Linked DNA regions of Ovis aries. The protein of the gene in region 3 interacts with the protein of the main gene of each other region in a pairwise test. Links are inferred from orthologs where the notes say so. Each region holds a gene or a part of one and is shown on either strand. Other genes may lie near its edges. The genes, in order: HDDC3, FAM13C, CCDC172, TEAD4, SMARCE1 and DCTN2.

Region 1 (3,614 bases), on a different chromosome or scaffold from region 3:
TGGGGCACCCAGAAGTTCTTGTGGCTTAGCAACAAAAGGAATCAGAGATGGGATGGTGGTGAGACAGGGTGGGATGCCCACCGCAGCAGGTTTCCGTGGCAACCTGGGGTATGAGGGACCCTCCCCCCTCACAGGCCCTATCATGTTGCTGCTGAGGACTCTGCTGAGCTCAGCAAGATCTGCCAGTAAGCAGGGTGGCACTTCTTTCCAATACATATGTTAACTTCTTTCCCACTTGACTTCCTCAGTGAGGAAGCCTACCAATTTCTGAGCATCTATGTGTCAGGCATGTCACCTAGCTCAACCCTGATAATTACACAACCTATCCCACTGATAAGGAAACCAAGCTCCAAGGGGTTCAGGCCCTCAACCTGAGGGACCTGTCCCAGAGGGCACACAGTTGGAACCCTGCCCTACTGAAGGGCAGATATCTCCTCCTGACACACACACATCGGTTCCCCACTGGGGAGGCTGGAGGAGGAGCAGCAGCAACTCGAAGCTTTATCCAAATGTTTTATTTTGCATAATGACTTTCAGACCAGCGTTTATAGATAAGCCTAAGTCCCTGAGGGGCCAGAGATCCCACCGTGCAAAACAAGCAAACCCAAGGCCTGAAGCGGGGCAGTGAATGCATTAGGAATGGATGGGGCACATCATCCCACAATCTGGGGCTCAGCTTAGTTGGCAGATCTTCAGACTCAGAAAAGACACGTGAATTTGGTCTCTAATATCTGTGCTGAGTGAACCAGGGAGGGAGCTTGGGAGGCATGGAAAGGCTGAAGTATGCGTCTTCTCTGGCCTGGGCAACAATGGCTCCAAGCACCACTCAGAGTGTCAGCCCCCGCTCCTTAAACAGCTGCCTTAGAGCCTCTTCCAGCTGTCGGTTTGTTCCCTGGAGCCCCTTCACCACCTGTGCCGCCCACTCGAAGTATTCCTGGACTCGGTGTTCAGACCATCCTGCATAAGAGTGGACAGAAAACCGCTCGTGTTGATGTCCAGGAGTGCCCTGGATTTTGCCCAGTTCCTGAGGGGCTTGGCGCAGGGCCATGAGTTCTGATGGATTTGTACTGAAAACTTCCCCTTGGCCCAGCTTCTGTATTTCTACTGTATGAAAGAGCAGAGGGGTCTAGTAAGATTAGTCTAAGGAATCAACAAGAACACTTGGGCTTTTATTCCAGGGGAACTGACCAACCTGTGCCTTCAGAAGATGGCTACCCCTCCTTTTCCCCTCAGAGCAGGTGGGGGATAGCGTACCCTCTGGGGTGCAGCGATTCAGGTCCCTCAGATTGTACAGCTTATCTGCCAGCTTCACCAGTTTAGCTCCGGGGCTGCTCTGGGGTGCCTGCTCCACCTGCAGCCGCTTTCTCTCCAGCTTGGGCAGAGTCTTGTCATCTGTCACCTCCTCCACCAGGCGCCGCACTTGGTCCCCAAAGTGCAGCTCCACCTCATCCAGGGTGGTGTCTGTGTCCTCCACTGTGTCATGGAGCAGGGCTGCCTGCGGACAGGCTCCCACTCAGTCCTGGGACACCTGCCAAGGGGTGCCCGAAGCTGATTGGGGCCCCTGATCCCCAACCCAGCCTCCTAGCAGAGGAGGAAAGTTACCTGTAATACCACAATGTCAGTGATCCCCGCCTCGTGGGTCAGGATCCGAGCCACACCTGACGAGGCAAAGCAGGAAGTCAGGAGGGAGTTCAGGGCCACGTGATGTGGGTTCGCAGAGCCAGAGGTGGCTGCCCCTCACTAGCGGGGTGACCTTGGGCAAGTCCTTTACTCTTTTTTTTTTTTTTTTTTGGATGTCCACTGTACAGAGAACAGCCATGCCGACCGCCCCAGGTCGCTGTGAGTCTTAAACACGAACTGTGCCTGGCACAAAGCTAGATACCGACTAGGTGCCCGAGGAGCTGCACGCCCTCCGCGTTCCCTTCCCGGTCCCCAACCCCTGGAGGCTACAGCCGTGGCTCCCCCGGCGGAGCGCCCACCGATAGGGTGGTTGATGTAGGGGGTCCCTTCGGGGTCCTTCCGCCGCTGCCGTTGGTGCTTGCGGGCCGCGAAGTCAGCAGCCTCCAGCAGCTGGGCCACCTCGGAGCCCATCGCGCAGGTGGGGCGGGTACCTTAGGTCCTAGGCGCCCGGGGAGCGTGGACCCAGCGTCCACAGCGCCCCCTGGCGCCGCGGAGGTCCGGGAGGTGGTGGAGTCTGGTGCGGAAGCGTTCTTCCGGGTCTGATGGGTGGACCTTGGGTGTAGGAAGCTGCTGCCCACAGCTTCGCAGCTGCTAGTTCAGTGTGCTTTGCCGAGGGTGCATGAAGAATATGGCCTGGCTCTCTGGGAGCCCGCAGCCTGGGAGAAGGAGGAAAACAGAAAAGAAGACAGTGGCCTCACTGTGTCCAGAGCAGGAAGGCGCAGAGGACTGTGGTAACTTGGAGGGAGAGCAAATCATGTAGCCTCTGGGCCAGAGAGAACTTCTCTGGGGAGGACCCTCTCCCGTCATGAAAAGACAATTTTCAAGCTGCCAATGCTCTGAACATTCTCAAAGTGCTCTAAAAATAGTTCTCCCTGCAAGAATGGCCTGGTTGCTATGGGCAAAGGAGCCTCACACTAGGGCCCAGAAGATCCCTTGGGTCTGCTGCTGCTGCTGCTAAGTCGCTTCAGTCGTGTCTGACTCTGTGCGACCCCATAGACAGCAGCCCACCAGGCTCCCCCTTCCCTGGGATGCTCCAGGCAAGAACACTGGAGTGGGTTGCCATTTCCTTCTCCAATGCATGAAAGTGAAAAGTGAAAGTGAAGTCCCTCAGTCATGTCCGAGTCTTAGCGACCCCATGGACTGCAGCCTACCAGGCTCCTCCGTCCATGGGATTTTCCAGGCAAGAGTACTGGAGTGGGGTGCCATTGCCTTCTCCGCCCCTGGGGTCTGACCTGGAAATTGGAGCTTACAGTGGGAGCCCTCCGTGATGGTTTCAGAGAGACTCCCAGGCCGTGGTGCTGTTTCCTCCGGAACTGTTTTCTTTGCTCTCAGGTGCCAGGAACAAAACCTGCATGTCTTTCTCGTGCCATGAGGGCTCCTGCTTCAGTCCCCAGGCACTGCTGTGGGGCCCCTGGGCTTCTGAGCGTTGTCACCGTTGTTCTGAGAGCATGACCTTGTTGTCAGGCCTCCATAGACACTACAGCAACACAACACTGTGGGCTGGTGACCTCTGGTCTTTTGGAGAAATCCCCTCTCTCAGCAGACAGTACCTATGAAGTATAAGGTTTGCTGAGACCGGGAGACCCTGGAAGAGCTGTCCCTGTGAAGTGGAGTTGGCTGATTGCTAAGTTTACTCCAGTTGATTAGCAGCTTTTGTACTTTGGCTGGTAGCTGGGGCCGATGAGGACTCAGGGGACAAGTTAACGAGAGCACTTGCTCTTGCTTTTCAGCTGGTCTTGGTGGTTGCCACGATGCAGAAGTTAGAGAGGGAAGCCCCAAACGCTGGAAACAAGGTCTCTGGGGCCTGAAATGGAACAAGCTGAATTCCCATGGCTTCCGTGGCAGCCTGAAAGTTAAGAGTGGGTGGAGAGAAACATATCTGGTTCTAAATGCGTGTCTGTTCTTCAGGCTAGTGGCTCGACTTGGCTCATTCC
Region 2 (4,097 bases), on a different chromosome or scaffold from region 3:
CCCTTTCTTCCCGTAGGAGCCCTGATCCTCTGTTGTCCATTTTCATCACCCAGATGTTTTCCACTGAAGCATGCCCATGCCACTGTCACCGAAAGCGAACCATCACTTTTCAGATTTCCGAGCTGTTGTAGTGTTTCCCAGTCCCTACCCTTCCCACGACTTTGAGAGATGAACTGTCCTGAGTTGTTTCTGACACCCTCTTGCCTAGATGCTGCAATGTTTTTATTTTTCCTCTATGCCAAACATAACCAAACTATTATATAAACTGCTTTAGTAAAATACAAAATAATGGCTTATAAATGGTGTTTAAATATGCTCTCATTTTAATCTACTGAACAAATATTGGGATAACTCCAAACCGCATGAAAAAGTGTAATTGCAGCATGAGTTAAATCTTGAAGCCTAGAATTGTCAGCACTTCCAACTTGTTGTTTGACAGTGTTATTTATGTTATTTATATTAGCTAACAGGAAACAACTACTGTGTTTCAACATAATAAATATAATAGAAAAATATTTTATTTGTATTGTTGTATAAAATATTTACAATCTTATAGAATATATAGAGTTACATCTTAATAGCAATTGTATACATGTCACGAAACCATTTCCCTTATCAAAGATGTAGTTTGTAAACCTCAAATAGTTGTGTATCTGTCCTGTTACAAGTACATAACTTTAATTAAACAAATTTGTGAAGGACATTATTCTGATTCATAAAGGTTATAAAATATCAGGTAAATATAGGTAACTATAGAGAAAACAGTAAGCCTCTGAAACCATCTGCTTCAGAAATAGTCAATCCCAACCAAACTATATGAAAATGTGAATTTGTTCACCATTGTGCTTAAACATTACAGAAAAGAGAACTACAAACGTGGCTGGTATGAGAGAGAAAATGTGGACCTTTTACTTATTTTTACAAAAGCAAAATAATAAACGTGGTTTAATACAAAATAACAAAACAATATACACTGAAGTTAATGATGCAAATAAAGTATCCTGGCTTCTTTTCCAAGGTGTTACAGCAAACAGGTACTAAACCTTTCATTTTATACAGAATGAGTAACAACTATAGTTCATGGGAAATTTTTTTGACTTTACAAAGTATAGACCTTGGAACATTAAGAAAAACACATATTCCCAATGGAAAAATAGTTTATATATCTTATAGTAAACAAAAAGATTAGCTATTATAACTATGATCACATTAGATTATATGCTACAGACACATCTATCCAAAATACCTATTTTCAAATTTTAATACAATATTTTATTTTAATATAAACATCTGTCAATTATAAACAAAGATAATTCACAAAGTACATGCTATCAGAATGAACTTTGGTAATCAGAAATGTAAAATTTTAAGGAACAGATAAAATAATGTGCTATTTTTATATAGAAATAAAAAATTAGCAGTGACACATTCTAGTATATTTTAGGGTGCTGAAAGCCTAGCAGACTTAAGGGACAAGGTAGTAGATTTTTTATCACTTAAAAATCTATTAGAAGTTTCAAATAAATTACATTCTTAATGACTGTATCCCTTTCTATGTAAAATGAGTTTCTTTTGTTGTTCTTATTGGGTTAAAAATCATGCTCTTTCCGTATGTCAGTATAAGCAGTCTTTGGACATTAAGTAGACTTTCTCTAACCAGTGGTCCATTTAACAGGTGGACACTTTTTATTACTTAGGTTTGATACAATACATGTTTTCTGAAGTAATTATACTGACTGCATTTTCTCCTTGGCATGGAGAAGGCTGAATTTTATTTTCCAATTATATGTTACTTACTGTATTTTCTCCCATTTTAATCCCTTCTATTCATGTATAATTACACTTGCCATCCATTCTTAACAACAGCTAATACTCCCACTAAAGTGCTTCAGTTTTCAGTTGTCATACTACTTAGCAAGAACGGCAGAGGAAAATAAACTTGCCTTATCACAGGTGAAAGTGATCACAAACATTTCCTGAACCTCAAATAGTTTTGGCCACATCTTGCTTGCTGATGAGGACCTCTAATAGTCTCAGTTTGGCTTTTATATGCTTGTATTCATAGTACTCATCTGCCATTGGTATCCGATCTTCCTTTTGTGGACTTCTGCAAAAAATATATATATATATAAATGCATTAGATCATTAATGAACCAAGTCATTAAAAATCCTTTTTTAACTCTTGTGAGAAAAGTACAGGGTAACAATTTCCGCTAGATTTTTTCATCAAGTCTTTTTTCCTCTCCCTCTTCCATGTGTTACTAGGTTTCAATGTAATAGTGCTCTGAGAAGTTAAATATTATAAGTGTTTTGCAAAACATTGTCCAGTGCATAGACATATAACACTGGGGAAGAGGAAAGGTCTGCGGGAAATAAAAACCAGAACCCTCAAGATATTTTTTTACCTAGTCTTTCTTCCATCATCCAAGCCTGTGCAGAATATTCAGCCCTTATAGTGATAGTTGTTTAAAATATCAACCTAAAAATACTACGAAAATTACATTAACAGAAATAACTTATAAATCTATGGTAATAGGAGGGAAAAGTTCAGTAGCTACCTTACAAACATGAATTATTTCTAAACTTTCTTGTAATTATAGTCCTATCTCTGTTAATGTATAGAAGAGTCACAGAGAAGTTCCTTTCAGAAATCTGAGTCTAAATTGTAGTGGTTCTTTGCACACTGATCCTACTAAGACTAGACTACGGATCATGCCCAGTTTGATACATATGCCTCCTAACTGCCAGATGTTCTTGACATTTACTTTGAAGGATAATTGGGTAACATCTGGAGTTAAAATCATCTGCCTTCCCAGAAATTTACATTGCCAGGATATGTTTTCTAAAGGACAAGAGTTAGTTCAGGATCTCCTTAGTTAATAAAGATGGCCAATTGCTTTTAAAATATTTCCACCCATGACTTTGAAATACAAGGACTGGAAAACCCAGATGAAGTCACCACCACTGCTATTGAATATAAACACAGATAACATAAACTCTGTAACATAAGTATAGCTGAAAATGGGTAAAAAGCAAACAGCCTATACCCCTTCTATTTTACCAGTACTGATAAAGTTATATTTCTTACCAATAAAAGAACAGCTAACAGTACACATAGATTTGAATACTGTTCTGAGTTCTGAACTAGAAATTTCAGGGCAGTATATATAGTGTTAACAACACCAGTAGATAACGATATTCTTTGGGAATCTATAAAGAGTCTTCCCTGAAATCTCTAGTTCAGAACTCAGAACAGTATACAAATCTACAGCCAGAGTTCCTTTTAGACTAACATAATTCCTTTGACTCCATTCTGTATTCTGGGCCAAACTTATCCCAACTGGGTATCTAAATGCCACCTTAATTTGTGTAAACATACCTAAGTGAAGAAATAGTCTAATTTATAGGGAAACACTAATAGTTCATGATGCAATTATCTCTGGTCCGGCACACTCCTCTTTATCTAATAAACAAGAATGCATTGTACTAAGTATTTCCTTAACCACTTTTCTCATTATATAAAACATACATAAGCATTTAGCACAGGTCCTGGCTCATAATTGTTAAGGTCATACCTAGATAACTATGCTTCTTGCATGATGACTCTTACCAAGAACATTCATAGAACATTAAATTTTTTAATTATCTATTTGCATGGTTATTTTACCTATGGACAGGTAACCCTTCCCAATGAAATGTTTTAGAAAAACAAGATCTGTATTTCGTAGCCATTCGACTATTTGATTTTACTTGTAATATGGCACCGCTTCTGCCTTTAGTTTAAGTGTATTACCACAAGAGGGCAGATAACCTCAACCAAGTAGTAAGCATATCTGAAGTGGGTTTCCCACTCACTGGTGCATTTAAAATACTATACATAGAACATGACTAACTTCCCTGGATGTCAGAGGCATGCCAAGTACCACTGCAGACCCATTTGGCAGGACTAATAACACACCAGAAGGTTCTCAAACTCTTTAAATTGCCTGTGTTTGGATAGGTTAAAAAATGTAAAAGTTGTATAGAAATTTTGTAAAGGAAAAAAGAAAACAAATTGTTTTATATTCTGAATTTAACAACCACATAACATTTCTCAT
Region 3 (3,500 bases):
CAAGATTGTTGTAAGTACTCATGAAATAATATTTAATTACATAGAATGCTACCTGGATAATAATTAAACCCTTAAAATATAAGGATTATACTTTTTAATTAGCTTAATTTCATAGATGAAGGAAATGAGGCTCTCAGAGATAAGTTGCTTTGGGTAGAGAGTGTAGGACAGAGGTTCTTCAGGCATACATATAAGCATACATCTTATAGGCAAACATCTGGGACGTTCATATATATATATATTCATATATATATATATAAATGATCAGGAAGGAGCACAATACAAAAACTAGAACTAGAATAAATGTATTAAAAACTGTTTTTAGATATTAAGGACAAGAAACTGTCCAAGGCTATGATTCCTAAGAGAAGGAAAACACATGAGGCATGATTACCTAAGCTTATACCTGGTTACAGTTTTTTGACAACAGGAGTGAGAGAGGGAACTTAAACAAAACACAGTGGCATGAATGAGTCGAGGATACAAAGACTGGAGTTCAGGGAGGCTGAGTTAGTTGAAATTTTCAGGACAACGTACTGAGAGGAAAGAACTGCACAGACAAAACCTCCAGAAATCTTCATAGAGGTTGCTTTGAGTCTTTGGCTATATATTATTCTTTGCATACATAGGGGAAAGTCCTCTAGACTGAATAAAGAAAAACTGCTGGGGAATCATAAGGTCAACAATTCTGTGAGCTCACACAAGACTGAGAGACATTCATGTTCCATCCTTTAAGAATAGAAAGAGCTCATTAAACAGAAGAATCCTGCCTTAATAGTAGGATTCAATTAGCCTTCGACCTAAGGCTACTCTGGATACACTCTAAATCTTAAAAGCACGGTTTGAACCTAATTATGTTACCTAACTGCATGCTAAATAAGCAGGTATCAACATGCTTGAGGGGAAGAGAGCAAAATTCAAACATCAACAAAATAGTAAACAAAATGTCTGGTATCCAACCAAAAATCACTGTATCTGTGAAAAAGAAATTGTATCTCATACCAAAAAGGAAATTAGGTCAATAGAAACATCTCCAGAAATCACAGAGATAATGAAATTCACAGAGAAAGACTTTTAAAATTGATATTATAAAAATATTCAGGACCATGAGTATAATAGAGATAAATAAAAGATATAAAATAGTAAAAAATTCAGAAAATCATTTGGCAAGATCCAACACCCTTTCATGATAAACACAGTCAATAACGTAGACATAAAAGGGACCATTCTCAACCTGATGAAGAGTATCTTTGAAAAACCATGGTGAATCTTATTTATGATGAAGGAATGAGAATTTCTCATCTAAAATCGGGAAAAGATGAAGATATTCATCCACTCCTAGTATTTGTATCCAGCATTTTACTAGAGATTTTAGCCTGGGCAATCAGGCAAGAAAAAGAAATACGAGACATCTAGATTGAAAATGAAGTAGTAAAACTATCTCTATTTGAACATAGCATGATCTTGTGTATGGAAATCCTAAGGAATCCATAGGAGAACTATTTGAGCTAATAAACAAGTTCAGGGAAGGTGGCAGGTTATTAGATCAATATATACAAGCCAAATGGACAATTTGAAAATTAACATTCAGTTTGCAATCAAAAAAGAGTAAAACACATTTAACAAAAGTTTAAGACTTGTATACAAAAACCACAAAAAACATTGTTGAAAGAAGTTAAAGGAGACCTAAATAAATGGAAAGTCATCTCAAGCTGATGGATTGAAATATCGAATATTGTTAAGCAGTACTCCCAAAAGTATATTGACCCTACATTGCTTACATTTTTACTACACAAGAAAGAGTTAATCATTCTTGACAGACATAAGGCAAAGCCAAAAATAGTTAAAATGTGTTTTTTTTGCATATTTATTTCTAGAAATGAAGTCAATGGAACATGATAGTGACCTGTTAAATGAACTTCAGAGACAAAAGAGTGAATTAATACAAGAATTATTTACTTTGCAGAGAAAGCTTAAAGGTATTACATATATGAGTCTTTGCTGATGAATATAGTTATATATCTATCATTTGTTGTTCAGTTGCTAAGTTGTTGTGTCCGACTCTTTGTGACTCCATGGACTGTGGCACACTAGGCCCTCCTACCCTTCACCATCTCCTGGAGTCCGCTCAATTCATGTTCTTTGAGCCAGTGATGCTATCTATCTATCTCATCCTCTGCTGCCCCCTTCTGCTTTTGCCTTCAGTCTTTCCTAGCATCAAGGTCTTTTCCAGTGAGTCAGTTCATATCAGGTGGCCAAAGTATTAAAGTTTCATCTTCAGCATCAGTCATTCCAGTGAATATTCAGGGTTGATTTCATTTAGGATTGACTGGTTTGATCTTGCAGTCCAAGGGGCTCACAAGAGTCTTCTCTATTATAGGTTAATATTATTCTTTCAAAATGTATTTACTCATTGAGATATAGGTGATGTAAAAAGGGGATTTTTTTTGATGTGAAAAAGGAATAGGTAAAGCACTAAATTGATGTGTTGAATCTGGTATTTTTAATTTCATAAATTTTAAGATCTTTTTTTGTGCCTTTAAATGCTACATTAAAGTAGAAAAATAAAAATCATTAGTACATGTATTTTACACAAAACACCGAAATTTAGAGCATTGTTCTTATGAATGAAGAAAGATAACCTTTATATTTAATTTTTTAAAGAGTATAAGAATTGTCTTAATTGTTTAGGTTTTGAAGATAAAAAAAATGGAGCCATTTGTACTACTAAATATCTAGAGGCAGAAAAAATAAAAATCAATGAAAAACCTCAAAATGATGCTGAATGCTTAAGGTAAGAATTGCCTATTATACTTTGATATAAATCTGGTAATTTTTAAAGTTGTCAAGTAGATTTCAACATAAAGCCAAATGCATAATTATTTCAAGATCATTCTGAAATATGTTAATAAGCAAATGCGTTACTGGTTAAAAACACATAAGTTTTAAATTGTATCAGGTTGATAATACTGAAATCAGTCTTATCGTTTCCTATTCCTCAAGAACTCTTGAGTTATTCACATCCTAAAAGATAAAATGTAGAATCATTTCCACAACTCTTTTTTCTATTATCCCTAAGTTTTTGGAGTGAAATGACTGAAATTATCTTTTTTGGTCCTTCTAGATTTCAGGGGGAAAAAAATTACAGTCTACTTTACTTAAAATCTGTGCTTCTGGTTTTGTACCTAAAGATTTGAAAATATATTTTCTTTATGGAATATTTAGATGTTTTCTGTGTATTTAGATAATGAAAGAATGGCTGAGGTCTGAAATGACATAGTTATATACCAAAGGAGTACATCTCCCCCAGTTTATTAATTTCATTGTTATTTCTTAATAATTCAGTGTTAACATTTGCTGGCTTAATTTTAAAGAGCTTCCTATACTTTCTAGGTTTCATGTAAGAAACAGAAACCTCATTACTGAATCTATGAAGAGGCAAATGAAGCCTTCTTTCACATAAATCATATAGGAAATATGTCCACTAGAGCTGAACAAAT
Region 4 (3,500 bases), on a different chromosome or scaffold from region 3:
GGTTGCCATTTCCTCCTCCAGGGGCTCTTCCTGACCCAGGGACTGAACCCGCATCTCTTACGTCTCCTGCCTCGGCAGGCGGGTTCTTTACCACTAGTGCCACCTGGGAAGCCCAGTGAAGAAGAAACACCCTAATAAAAGTCTCCCGACGGCCCTGACTTTCCGCAGCACACCCGTCACAAGAGGGACTGCAGGAGCCGGGCTCGCTGGGGCTGGGGGTCTCCCAGCCAGGCCCTTGCTGACTCCAAGCCTCAGTTTCCCCATCTGTGAGATGGGGGTCTAGGGTGGCTCTCATCTGAGGATGGCTAGAACACAGACTGTTATCTCTGAGTGGAGGAAGGCAGGTGCTGGTGAGAAGGGCCCCCACGCTGCTGTCTCCCCCGACCAGGGCAGGGTTCCCATCAGTGCCTCCTGCCAGCCAGGCCTCCCTGGCCAGGCTTTTCCCTCGGGGCAGTTGGTCATCGCCGAGCTAGGGCAGGAAGGAAGAGGCCACCAGAGACTTACCCAGAACTTCACGAGGAAAAAGGCGTTGGAGGGTCCACGTTCAAAGAGCTCCTTGAGGCCGCCCTTCTTCTCGGGGAACTTGTCGTAGATCTGGTGGATGTCCACGGCTTCGAGGTAGGGGTCGCTGTAGCTGGGGCTCGACTGGCCGATGTGCACGAACAGGTGCTTGTTGTACTGTGGGCACAGGAGAGCTAGTCTGAGGGGCTGCGGGGCGGGCGGACCAGCCCTGGGGCTCCGAGCCCAGCCAGGGGCCCAGAGCAGGGATGCCACGGCAGGGCCTCAGTCTCCCCCCTGGTGACACGGAGCAGGAAGAAGGGCTGGGTGCACAGCAGAGTAAACAGGCATCCCGCACTTGGGGCAGGTCGGCCCCCCACAGGCGCTTGGCATGCGTTGGTCGCTATTTGCACTATTCTGAGTCGTGGCTCAGTCACTGAATATCCTTAGGCGGGTCATTTCTATCTTTGGACCCCCTCAATCTCATCTGTGATGGAAGACCACTGAACCAGAAAAGGGGTGTTTCCCCCGTTTGAAGTGGGGGGCGGGGGCTGGGAACCCCTTGCTGCAATCCGAGAAAATCCACTGCTTTCACAATACATGCTGGGCTTCCAAGGAAGGGTTTGTCTCACTAACAAGTTCCTCACCTGAAAAATAAGCTTCTAAATGTCAAACTGGGAGTGGGGGGTATAGGAGGGAGCTCAGGAGGGGAGGGGATATGTGTGTGCATGCGGGCTGATCCACGTTGTTGCATGGTAGAAACCAACACAGCACAGTGTAGCAATTATCCTCCAATTTAAAATAAACTGAGAAAAAATAAGGACCTCGAGAAATCTTAGCGTTTAAGAAAAAAAAAGTGTTAAACTGAAATGATTAGTGAAGATTCCCAGGCTCTGGCCTCCTGTCCACCCGGCCAGGTGCTACTCTGAACTCTGCAGGTGACGCGGGCCACCCAGGATGGAGACACAGAAGGGCTCAAAGTGGGGGTGGGCTGCCGCTCCTGCTGGCGCCCCCGAGGATGTGCGGCAGACAGACGGCTCCTTGGAGCCACAGGGGACAGCGCAGTGCAGCCTGGGGTGGGGCTGGGACCAGCGTCTTCAGAGGGAGAGGTGACTAGATGGGAGGAAGGAGGGCGTGAGGGACTGGGGACTAGGGTGGGGCACAGAGACCAGGGGAGGCTTAAGGGAGGGAGAGATGCAAGGTCCAGTGAGAAAGAAGCCAGGGGGAGGACAGGTGAACCAGGAGAGGATAAGAAGGAACAGGAACCTAAATTCAGTCCCAAGGTGGAGCAGGGCAGAGGGCAGGGAGAGAAAGCCAGAGCAGGCAAAATTGGAGCTGGAGGAGGCTGGGGAGCAGCACGCTCCAGGAATGAGGATGGGGCGGGAGAAAATCCAGCTGGCGACGGCTAGGACCTACCGTATCGGGGTCCTGCTGCCGCTCCAAGAAGGCAGAGAACTCCAACATCCAGAGCTTGGAACTGGCCACGCTGCGGCCCTGCCACGGGGGTGCGGGGGGCGCAGAGGGCGACGGGGCAGGTCCTGCCGGAGACTCGAACCCTGCACGCGGTGGACGGCACATGGGAGCCGGCCCACACGGCCTCCCCACACCAGCCTCCCCCAGACCCCCAGACCCATCGGAACCTGCTGTGTGCCTCCCAGCAGGCATGGGGGTGGGGGCAAAGCACTGGCCAGCGGTCCAGGGGCAGCCCTGGCAGGGGGCTCAGTCCTGACAGTTCAGTCCCCTCTGGGCACAGGATGGCTCTCAAGGGAGGTGATGCTGACCGGGGACAGGTTGTGGGGGGCAAGGGGACGGCGGTGGCTGGGGGCAGGGGGCGAGTGGAATGCCTGCTGGACCCAGGGCTTCCAGGGCAGGCACCGCTTGGTTCTTGCTCTGGAGGCGCTTCAGGTCCAGCCTGAAGATAACTGGACAAATGACTACAATGACACAAGTCTCTGCCCAGCCCCTGTGACAGCATCTGGCCCAGAAGGGCATGCAGGTTTGTGACTAAGTGAAGCAACGAACGTGATGAAAACAGACTGAGCGCTGCAGGGGGGCTCCCGGTCCACCTTGGCAGTGGTCAGAAAGGCTTTCCGCAGGTGATGCTTAAAGAGGTTATGCAGCAGGGGTGGGAGGGAGGCTCAGGTGGCAGGGCATATATGTATACTTATGGTCGATTCACACTGTTGTACAGCAGAAACTAACACAACATCTTGAGCAATTATCCGCGAATTAAAAATAAACTTAATAATAAAAAAATAAAAAGAAGTGATGTGGCAGGAGCAGGAGGCAGCAGCAGAGACAGGGGAACGGGCTGCAGGCAGAGGGCACGGGGCGGCCAGACGCTCAGTGGGCTGGGAGGTTCCATCCAGCAGGTTTGTGCAGGAGCTGGAAATGAGGCTTGAGAGTTGGGGCCTGGCTGCTGGGTGGGGAGTACAGGTTTCAGCCTGAGCTCAGGAGGGTGACAGAGGATTCTAAGCAGGGCCGAGGAGCGACTGGCTGAGCATTTCTGCACATCTTGTTCCTTGTGGACGAAGGAATGGGCAGGGGCAGTGCTGGCCAGAGACGCGGGCCTCGTGGGCTCTTCTCAAGGGGGGAAAAGAAGAGGGCAGTGAAGAGGAGGGGACACAGGAGGGACATGGAGGGAGCAAGACTGCAGGACTTGGTAAGAGACAGGACGAGGGGGCAGCCGAGGCAGGTAGGTCAGGAGCTCGGGGAGGAGACAGAGAAGAGATGGCAGAGGAGCGGGCAGAGGACCACGCTGGACACACCAGCTCACACACTGGATGCGTGAGCTGAATCCCTTGTTCATTTGTCCAAGGGCAGCTTCCCGAGTCCTGCCCAGTGGGGGCACACTGGACGTGGCCCAACACACGGAGGACAGACACCAGCCCGGGATGGTGCCCGGGTGCACGGAGAGGGACAATCACCAGGGAGCCTCTAATGGATTCTCAGCTGGAAGCACCGTGGTGAGAAAGACGCTTTAAGATGATGGGTGAGTTAGG
Region 5 (4,045 bases), on a different chromosome or scaffold from region 3:
TTAATAGAGATGAACAAGAAAAGTGTTAAACTTGCCACTTATTTCTAATTAAAAAAAGAACTGAGCATAGGAGGTTGGCATTTCAGTAGTATGTTTCTTTAAATGTTGGGGTTGGTTCAAGGTAAGATGCAGAGTTATTTTATTTAGTAGGAAGTGCTGTTTTTTAGCTGAATTTTTCATCCTGTTGCTGTAATGATTGAGTGACTGTCACTGGAAGACATCTGGGTTTTTGTATCAAGGCCAGACTTGGCTATTACATTAACAAGAAAATTAAAACTTACTGTTGCAGGAGCTGGGGTGGGAGGTGGGGCATAAGATGGTCTTTCTGTTTGAAAGAAAATAAATAACTTCTTGTAAACAACTGAGATATAATACTATGCAACAAAACTACCAATGGTCCTGTTTTGAAGAAAAAAAAATGAGAGTATTTTGGAATTCCCATTTGCTAGGGCATTAGTCTCTTATTAATATAGATTGATAAATATAAAAAATGAAACTTACTTGACATTTTGGAAGATTAAGTTCTCAGTTCCTTAAGAATGAATCTGAGACACTAAAATAAAAAAAAGGAAAAAAAAAGAAAAATAAAGATAATCAAAACTCAGCAAGCATAAGAGAATGTTTTTCTAAAGAATAGGGTAGTTTGATATTTCTTTGTAAAATTACATTATCTTCTAGTAATCAAGCCTTTTAAATATTTTACTAGTTCTTTAGGTCACTCAGTTGATCAGAATTAAATGACTAAAACAAATGACAGGGGATATTAAAAAGTAAAATTAGACATGTACTTGCAAGTTTTTGTTTTTTTTTGATACTGAGCCACCTCTTGTATGGAAAACGTTTCGCTGATGCCATGTAAACATTTAATCAAATCGGTAAAAATACAATGACAAAAGAATATGATGTATTATTGGGGCCTACCTCAACAAGGCCTACCAGACACTGACAGCTCCATGACCAGCCACAGCTCTGCCTTCCTTTTAGGATAACAACTTCTTTCTAGTAAAACAGCATTTTACTCCTGAAGGCAGTGGAAAAGGTAACTGGTGTGACAAGAAACTTCACATTCTCTTATAGGAGTAATGGAGCTTCCCTGGTGGCTCAGCGGTAAAAGAACCCGCCTGCCAACGCAGAAGACTTGAGTTCAATCCCGGGGTTGGGAAGATCTCCTGGAGAAGGAAATGGGAACCCACTCCAGTATTCTCCCTTGGGGAATCCCATGGAGAGAGGAGCCTGGTACCCTATAGTCCATGGGGTCGCAAGAGTCAGACACAACTGAGCCACTAAAAAACAACATGATGGTAAACAGCTTCATAACCGCTGGGAATAAATTTCGAGAGTCTACTGGAAAAAACTCTTATTGATCTTTCTTAGCTCAACTCAAAATATATCTCCTCAATGGAGACTTCTGGACCTATCTGTACAAAATTAAATGTTTCCTCATTTGTACTCCAATTTACACAGATCAATATCATATTACACCTGCTAATATGGGGGCTGAATGGAGACAGGGACCAGCTAGTTCATTATTGCTGTCCCAGTACCTAGCTCAATTTTTACCAACTTCAGTCCTAGTAACACTAGCTCAGGACATGACCACACACACGTGAACTTGTTCCTTACCTCACTATACATTACACACCATGTGTACAAAGAGATGAACATTCATTTTCACAAAAAAGGCAAATAACTTCTATGACTACTAGAGTATTTTCATCCGACATTATGAGAAACAAACATGATTTTTTTTTTGCTCCTGTTTTGTATTTTAAGGGCATTTCTGGAGCATTATGAGTAAGAGGCCTGGTGTGGAAAGAAAGAAATCATTTATTTTCTCAATGGCCCAACCTGGGTCTCCCTCTCTCCTTAAGGTACATGCAGGACACCAGAGTCTAATGCAGATTTCCTTCCTGCTCAAGCTTGGGTGGGCTGTCAACATCCAGTAGGCCTTGCTGTGGGGGGCCCTGATAATATCTGCCACAAGCTCCCAGGTGTGTCACATTTTATTAACACTCTAAAATTACTGGTCTCTTTTGCTATACCATAAATTTCAAGAGTGATCTCGTACAATTGTCCACCACTGTATGCATCTCCGGTGCCTGGCATAAAATCCTGGAGAAGTTATTTGTTGAATACCTTATACGGGACAGGCTTACTACTTTCACACCATCTGGTTTAACAGTCACACTACCAACGAGGTGTGTACTGCTATTGCCATTTTACAGAGGGAAAAAAGGAGTCTCGTTCAGTATAAGTAACTTGGCTCAAGACACAGAGTCAGGAAGTGTCAGAGCTGGGTTTCAAACCCAGGCCAAACTGTTGCCCAGCTTTCGCTTTTCACTCCAAGCCACACCGTGAGTCCTCAGATCGCTGCCTGGGCAAGGGGAAACCATCTTCCTGGGGGTGAGGACCACGGGCTTAGCTTGCCCCAAGGGCTTCCTCTGAGACCGATTCGGTTTGGTTTGATGTGTAGGTGCACTTTACCAGCTACTCTACTGAAGAGGAGCATGCAGAAGCGCCTTGACCACTTCCGTGGGGTTAGTGGAAGGGGCACTTCTGGCCGCCCAAGAGGAGCCCCAGATGGGACTCTCTCCCCACCCTCGCTCCGCTAGGCCTCAAAGAGGCCGCAGCCGGCCCCCGGCCCTGGTCCCGCGGCCAAGCCTGAACCCCAGCAACCCTCAGCAACCCCAGCCAAGCCGGGACCCCACGCCTCTCCACCCTCCCGACCCAGCCGGGCCCAGTCGGAAACACTCACCCGCGGGCAGAAGAAGCGCCCGCAGCTCCGGCCTCGCTTCCCTTTGTCCCGCGCACGCCCCGCCCCTCGCGTCCCGAGCTTCCGCGCTCGCACTTTCAACACTCTTCTTAATTCCTTTCCAGGCCCCACCCGACTCTCTTCAGGAAAATAAGCGTTCTCGTGGGGACGCGGTGGTGTTTAGCACAGTCAAGGATTTTTTTCAGGCTCCATACGCTCCTCAAAACTCCCCGAAAGTCAGTACTTTGCCAGCCGGGCGCCGATTCGTCACTCCGGAGAGGGAGGAGGTGGCCCGGCCGCGGGTAGGCCCGGCCGCGCGGCCCCCAGCGAGCCGGAGCGGGGACGGGAGGCGCGGCGGGAGGCGCGAGGCTGAGCCGAGGGGGGGCGCGAGCGCGGCCTCAGCTTCCCCGCGCGGGGCCGGAAGGCGGCGGGGAGCGCGCCCGGTCGCCAGCCCCGGAACCTCTGTGGCCGCGCGGCCCGCGCACCACCCCGGCCGGGCTCAGGCCGCGCACGCCCCCCGTCCCTGCCCCCGAGAGTTTCTGGGTTTTTTTTCCCTTCCGGTCTTTTTCTTGACTCTTTCTCTGGGAGCTGGAGTGTATATACTTCACCAAGCCGAGGATGGAGGCGTGGAGAGCCGGGTTTACAGTTTCCGTCCTCCTGCGCGCCTCCCAGGGCTTCCTGCCTTAACCGCGGGCAAGAGCTTTGGCGAAAGCAGCGCAGATCTTCCCAGCTGTTCCCAAGCGCAAGGCTGGTGTAATTGTCACAGGTTTCTGAGCCAAGGCCCGGAGATGTAAATCTCCTTGCCCCCGGTTGTGTGTCCCTGCAGCGCTGGGCAAGGGGTCTGTGTCCTAAAGCGCCTTGGCTCATTCGGTTTCCTCTGCCAGGAACGACAGTCCTTCACTTTTGGGTTTAAACTCATCTGTCCTTCCGGATCCAGCTCAAATTCTGTCCCTGATGCCCTCCGGGAACTCCCTGCCTCACGCGCCCCTCCTCCTCCCAAATTAACAATTATGGCCTTTACCTAATACATTGTATCAGACTGTGTTTGTTATTCTCAGTACTCTATGAGAGCCTTGAAAGCAAAAATTCAGCGGTCTGCATTGGTCATCTTCCTATAGCCAGTGCCCAGTAAGGCCTTGAACCATTGTAAGAAGCTCAGTAAATCTATATTGAGGCAGGCTATGGTCTAGTCCAGGACTCTTTTCACTAAATCATGACCACGTTGATGTACTAGATAGCAGCCTCTCCTTGGATACATAAACACTTGACCGACGTGCGCCACTGCAGAGAGGG
Region 6 (4,058 bases), on a different chromosome or scaffold from region 3:
TATACTGGTATTCTGGCTACATGCTGCAGGAAATGAACATCAGCCCATCAGACACCCCGCTAGATGCTACTAAAATAGGCTGCTCAGGTTCAGCAGGGAGAAACAGCCAATCAGCGCAGAAGAGTCAGGTTCTTCCATGCCTGGGATGAAGGTCATGCTCTTCTTATTAAGAGACAGCCCATGATTTCGAATGGAAAATTACAATTTATTTTTTGGTTTGGAAACGGGACTGCTATATTACCTGTTTGATCATGGTCAGTGACAAAGGGATAAACTTCCATTCATTATTTCACCATGAAGGCTTGATATTTTATAGATAGAGCCCTAGGCTAGAGCTGAACAGTCTCTGAACTATGGTAGCAGAATGGAGTCCTCAGTATATATATATATACTTCTGCCCTTTGAGTCATAAATAGCTTCTTAATAAGATACCTCTTAGAGTGAAGGTGCAAACCTAGGTCCTGAGCAATGACACCACCTGCATTATTTCCAGATACTCAAGTTTGGGGGACAGACTGACATGCCAGCAAGTACAGAAGCAACAAGAACACACCACTCAGAGAGGGGACAAGGAAGGTGTTCCCCACAAAGAAGGAACCACTTCCACATGGGGGAATCAAATAAGGAATAAGTGAGTACGCCAAGCCATACATTATAAGCCAGCAACCAGCATTCTCCAGAACTAACCAGCCCCACAAACGTAGCCACAGGACTCACAGACACACATACAGAGCCTGTTTCCACTGACTCTTAGTCACAACTTTTTTGAGATCTCATACCATCAATGTGACCCTAGCCCAGCTCTCCTTGCAAATTATAGAACCTAAAATACATCCTATAAGACATGTGAACAGATCTTTGCTCCCCTTGGCACTTACACTCAGGGTTTCCACTATGTTCACTTCATTCACTCAGTTTTTTCTTTCATATTTCCTATATGTATCCTAACTCTCTCATTAGTCTGGGGGATTTTTGAGGGAAGGGACATTTTTCCCTCTGTACTGAACAAAAATCAACACAAAATGAACACATTCAATAAACAATGCTAAGTGGTTTCCCTTATGGTTAAAATGTGTCCATAGCTAATTCTTTCCTCTTGAGTTCTTCCTGAATCTGAAAGTGCTATCAAGTCCTCTCCTCTGCTGATATGAAATATTTATGTTCTTCTTCAAATTCCTTCTGCTCTGACTAGTTCTCTTATCTTTCTGAAGTCTCCAATTCATTTTCCTTGCCTAGTGGATTCTGGATACTCACGTAAAATCACGTATAGTATTCCTCTATACTTCAAAGTCTAGCTTGTTAGGATGTTAATGAACATTGAATGAGAGATATATTTTATGAAATAGAAGGTCTAGGTCTTAAACTCATGCACTTTTTAAATGCGCAGGCTTCATGACGCATTACCACGGACTAGCACTACCAGGCCTAAGTCACTAGCACCCAGCCTGTTTTGAAATATTTCAATTTTATTTAAAAGGCCTAAGTATCAGGCCTCTTAGTTTTAATTCCACTGACCTGACTCTCCTTCCTGGCATTGCTCATTTGCAAGTCCTGCAACCTACATACCACCCAGGCTGGGTTGGCATACCCGCTTATTGCTGTGGCTCGCCAGCAAAGGGAAAGGGCCTGCCTGGGAGAGAGATCAGAATCCACAGGAGTCCTGAGGCGACACATAGTCTTACCGCATCAAACTCTGCTTGATCATCCTCAGGCAGGTCGCTGGTTTCATAAACATCTGGCTCGTTCCTGGCCTGCAGGTAGAAGCAGTGACCATCCAACCTCACTACCCAGCAACACCCCTGACCCCACTCCATTTGAACAAGTTAACAGAGAAGTCAGGCTGTGATGCCAGGATTCCGCCCCTTCTTTCACCTGCCGGGTGAACTGCCTGTCATTTCCCATGTCTTAACAGGGGTGGGGATAACAGTGGAGATGACTGATGGTAAATGGTGAGTGTTAAGTGATGACAAAGATGTTGCCCTGAATCTGAAGAATGACGGGTCCTGGGCAATCAGAAGTAGGAGAGGAGCCATCATTAGGCCCTGCACACACTACCCTGGCACAAGGGCTGAGAGTGACTCAGGACCTTAGTACACAAGGTCCTATTCCAACCCCCCACCCCGTGAATGCAAGTAAGGCAACACAAAGGGAGGTACATGCCGGCATGTGCCGGGCTTGGGAAGGAGGTTCCCTAGATGACAAGAGTTCTCTATCTGGGGTTCTGTCACGGTAACCTCCTCACTCTTTGCAGAGTGAAGGCCATCACCAAATGGCTTGGTCTGTGTGTCTGAGGTGGGGGTGAGGGTCTTATGGGAATATCTGGGAGACACGGGAGGTGTAGACACGGATGGTAATAAGCACTAGAGGACAGTGCTAAGTGCCTAGAGACCATTTCTGGGCCGAGAAACCGGCGACTGCCGGAAAGGGGCCTTGTAGGCCTTCGCATAGCCCAGCCCAGTCGGGTCGGAGTCCGAAGGGTGCTGGGGCCGGTCAGGGAGCTAGCGGCAGGAGCCCTCGGGGCTGAAGAGGGGTGCAGGCGGGAAAGGTCACGGGTTGGTGTCTGTTAGGGGTCTTTAGGAGGTTGGGGGCGCGGTCTTGGGGAGCCAGGGCCGGCCGTGTACTCACAATGCCGGGAAGGTCGGCGTACTTAGGGTCCGCCATGGCGGCGGCGAGGCAGGGTTGGGGGACCGGGGCCTCGGCAGAGCCGGGGCCGGTGCTCGGGTGGGGGAGAGGATGGGTCCCGGTCCGGCTTAAGGCGGCCGCAAAGGGAGCGGCGGAGGAGGCGGAGGAGCAGGAAGTCTCGCGACAGGAGTAGTACAGAGGAAGGGTGAAGCAAAAGTCGCGAGAACAGCCCGCTACCACACCCCTGGAGAGGCAGGGATTGGCGAGAACGAGGCCGGGAATGAGGTAATGGCAGGAAACCGCCGCCTAGGATTGTGGGATATGCAGTCTTGGCCCACCCAGCTTGGGTGGGGACCGACGTTAACGCGCTTTGGGAGCTGTGTCACATAACTTATTTTCTTTCGTCTTTATAGCGAGTCTGTGAAAGAGCTTTTACAATTCCTGTTTTTCGGTGGATAAATTTGTTGTTCAGCCGCTAACTCTGTCTGCTGCTAAGTCGCTTCAGTCGTATCCGACTCTGTGCGACCCCACAGACGGCAGGCCACCAGGCTCCTCTGTCCCTGGGATTCTCCAGGCAAGAACACTGGAGTGGGTTGCCATTTCCTTCTCCAACGCATGAAAGTGAAAAGTGAAAGTGAGTCGCTCAGTCATGTCCGACTCTTAGCGACCTCACGGACTGCATCCTACCAGGCTACTCCATCCATGGGATTTTCCAGGCAAGAGTACTGGAGTGTGTTGCCATTGCCTTCTCCCAACTCCTGTCTAGCTCTTTGCAACCCCATGGACCGTAACCCGTCAGGCTCCTCTATCCTCCACTATCTCCCACAGTTTGCTCACATTCATATCTATTGAGTCAGTGATGCTCTCTAACCGCTAGCCATGTCAAGCTCCCAGAAATTAAATGACTGGGTAAAAACAACACAACTAGGTTTGCTAAGGCACAGCCAGGGCTTTGAAACAACAATAAGTAACTTTAATAGAGATTTAATCGTGTTGGGAATGAGAAAGTTAACTAACCAGGTTAGGGCTGTCAGATAAAATACAGAGCTCTTAGTTAAATTTGAATTTCACATAAACAACTAATAGTCTTTATAGTATAAGTATGTCCCATAGGATATGTAGGACATATACATAAAATAGACACATTTTACTATTTTATCTGAAATTCAAATTTAACCAGGCATCCTGTTTTTGAATCTGGCAATTCTATCACAAGTTAATAAACACTTGGTAGCACCCTCTGTGCTCTTAATCCCTTCACTAATGGTTTTCAGACTTTTGAATTTCACAGTTTAGTACAATTAAAACAATATCAAACCTTTCTGAGGATAGGCATAGTATTGCTACTTTTTTATTTTGCCAAGCAAGTATTTGCCAAATCTATTCTCTATTACCATCATTACTTAGTAGAAAAGTACAGAAGGACATACAGTACT

The links.
Region 1: the proteins of CCDC172 (region 3) and HDDC3 interact in binary tests that used the Homo sapiens proteins (3 or more experiments, as listed by UniProt). The two-hybrid records come from large-scale screens. The link is inferred for Ovis aries from reciprocal best matches to the Homo sapiens genes CCDC172 and HDDC3.
Region 2: the proteins of CCDC172 (region 3) and FAM13C interact in binary tests that used the Homo sapiens proteins (3 or more experiments, as listed by UniProt). The two-hybrid records come from large-scale screens. The link is inferred for Ovis aries from reciprocal best matches to the Homo sapiens genes CCDC172 and FAM13C.
Region 4: the proteins of CCDC172 (region 3) and TEAD4 interact in binary tests that used the Homo sapiens proteins (3 or more experiments, as listed by UniProt). The two-hybrid records come from large-scale screens. The link is inferred for Ovis aries from reciprocal best matches to the Homo sapiens genes CCDC172 and TEAD4.
Region 5: the proteins of CCDC172 (region 3) and SMARCE1 interact in binary tests that used the Homo sapiens proteins (3 or more experiments, as listed by UniProt). The two-hybrid records come from large-scale screens. The link is inferred for Ovis aries from reciprocal best matches to the Homo sapiens genes CCDC172 and SMARCE1.
Region 6: the proteins of CCDC172 (region 3) and DCTN2 interact in binary tests that used the Homo sapiens proteins (3 or more experiments, as listed by UniProt). The two-hybrid records come from large-scale screens. The link is inferred for Ovis aries from reciprocal best matches to the Homo sapiens genes CCDC172 and DCTN2.

Annotation. Positions count from the first base shown.
Region 1 is NC_056071.1:21,044,047-21,047,660, reverse strand, and holds HDDC3 (guanosine-3',5'-bis(diphosphate) 3'-pyrophosphohydrolase MESH1), read right to left. Parts: upstream 2,115-3,614; 5' UTR 2,092-2,114; coding exon 1,980-2,091; intron 1,659-1,979; coding exon 1,603-1,658; intron 1,496-1,602; coding exon 1,255-1,495; coding exon of another isoform or gene 1,193-1,254; intron 958-1,192; coding exon 827-957; 3' UTR 501-826; downstream 1-500. UniProt on the Homo sapiens protein: ppGpp hydrolyzing enzyme involved in starvation response.
Region 2 is NC_056078.1:14,231,855-14,235,951, forward strand, and holds the end of FAM13C (protein FAM13C), read right to left. Parts: intron 2,108-4,097; coding exon 1,984-2,107; 3' UTR 501-1,983; downstream 1-500.
Region 3 is NC_056075.1:36,318,834-36,322,333, forward strand, and holds part of CCDC172 (coiled-coil domain-containing protein 172), read left to right. Parts: intron 1-1,877; coding exon 1,878-1,979; intron 1,980-2,691; coding exon 2,692-2,794; intron 2,795-3,500.
Region 4 is NC_056056.1:212,620,794-212,624,293, forward strand, and holds part of TEAD4 (transcriptional enhancer factor TEF-3), read right to left. Parts: intron 2,055-3,500; coding exon 1,915-2,054; intron 679-1,914; coding exon 505-678; intron 1-504. UniProt on the Homo sapiens protein: Transcription factor which plays a key role in the Hippo signaling pathway, a pathway involved in organ size control and tumor suppression by restricting proliferation and promoting apoptosis.
Region 5 is NC_056064.1:40,602,566-40,606,610, forward strand, and holds the start of SMARCE1 (SWI/SNF-related matrix-associated actin-dependent regulator of chromatin subfamily E member 1), read right to left. Parts: upstream 2,801-4,045; 5' UTR 2,756-2,800; intron 554-2,755; 5' UTR 509-553; coding exon 502-508; intron 326-501; coding exon 282-325; intron 1-281. UniProt on the Homo sapiens protein: Involved in transcriptional activation and repression of select genes by chromatin remodeling (alteration of DNA-nucleosome topology).
Region 6 is NC_056056.1:162,110,059-162,114,116, reverse strand, and holds the start of DCTN2 (dynactin subunit 2), read right to left. Parts: upstream 2,801-4,058; 5' UTR 2,662-2,800; coding exon 2,626-2,661; intron 1,752-2,625; coding exon 1,683-1,751; intron 1-1,682. UniProt on the Homo sapiens protein: Part of the dynactin complex that activates the molecular motor dynein for ultra-processive transport along microtubules. In the dynactin soulder domain, binds the ACTR1A filament and acts as a molecular ruler to determine the length.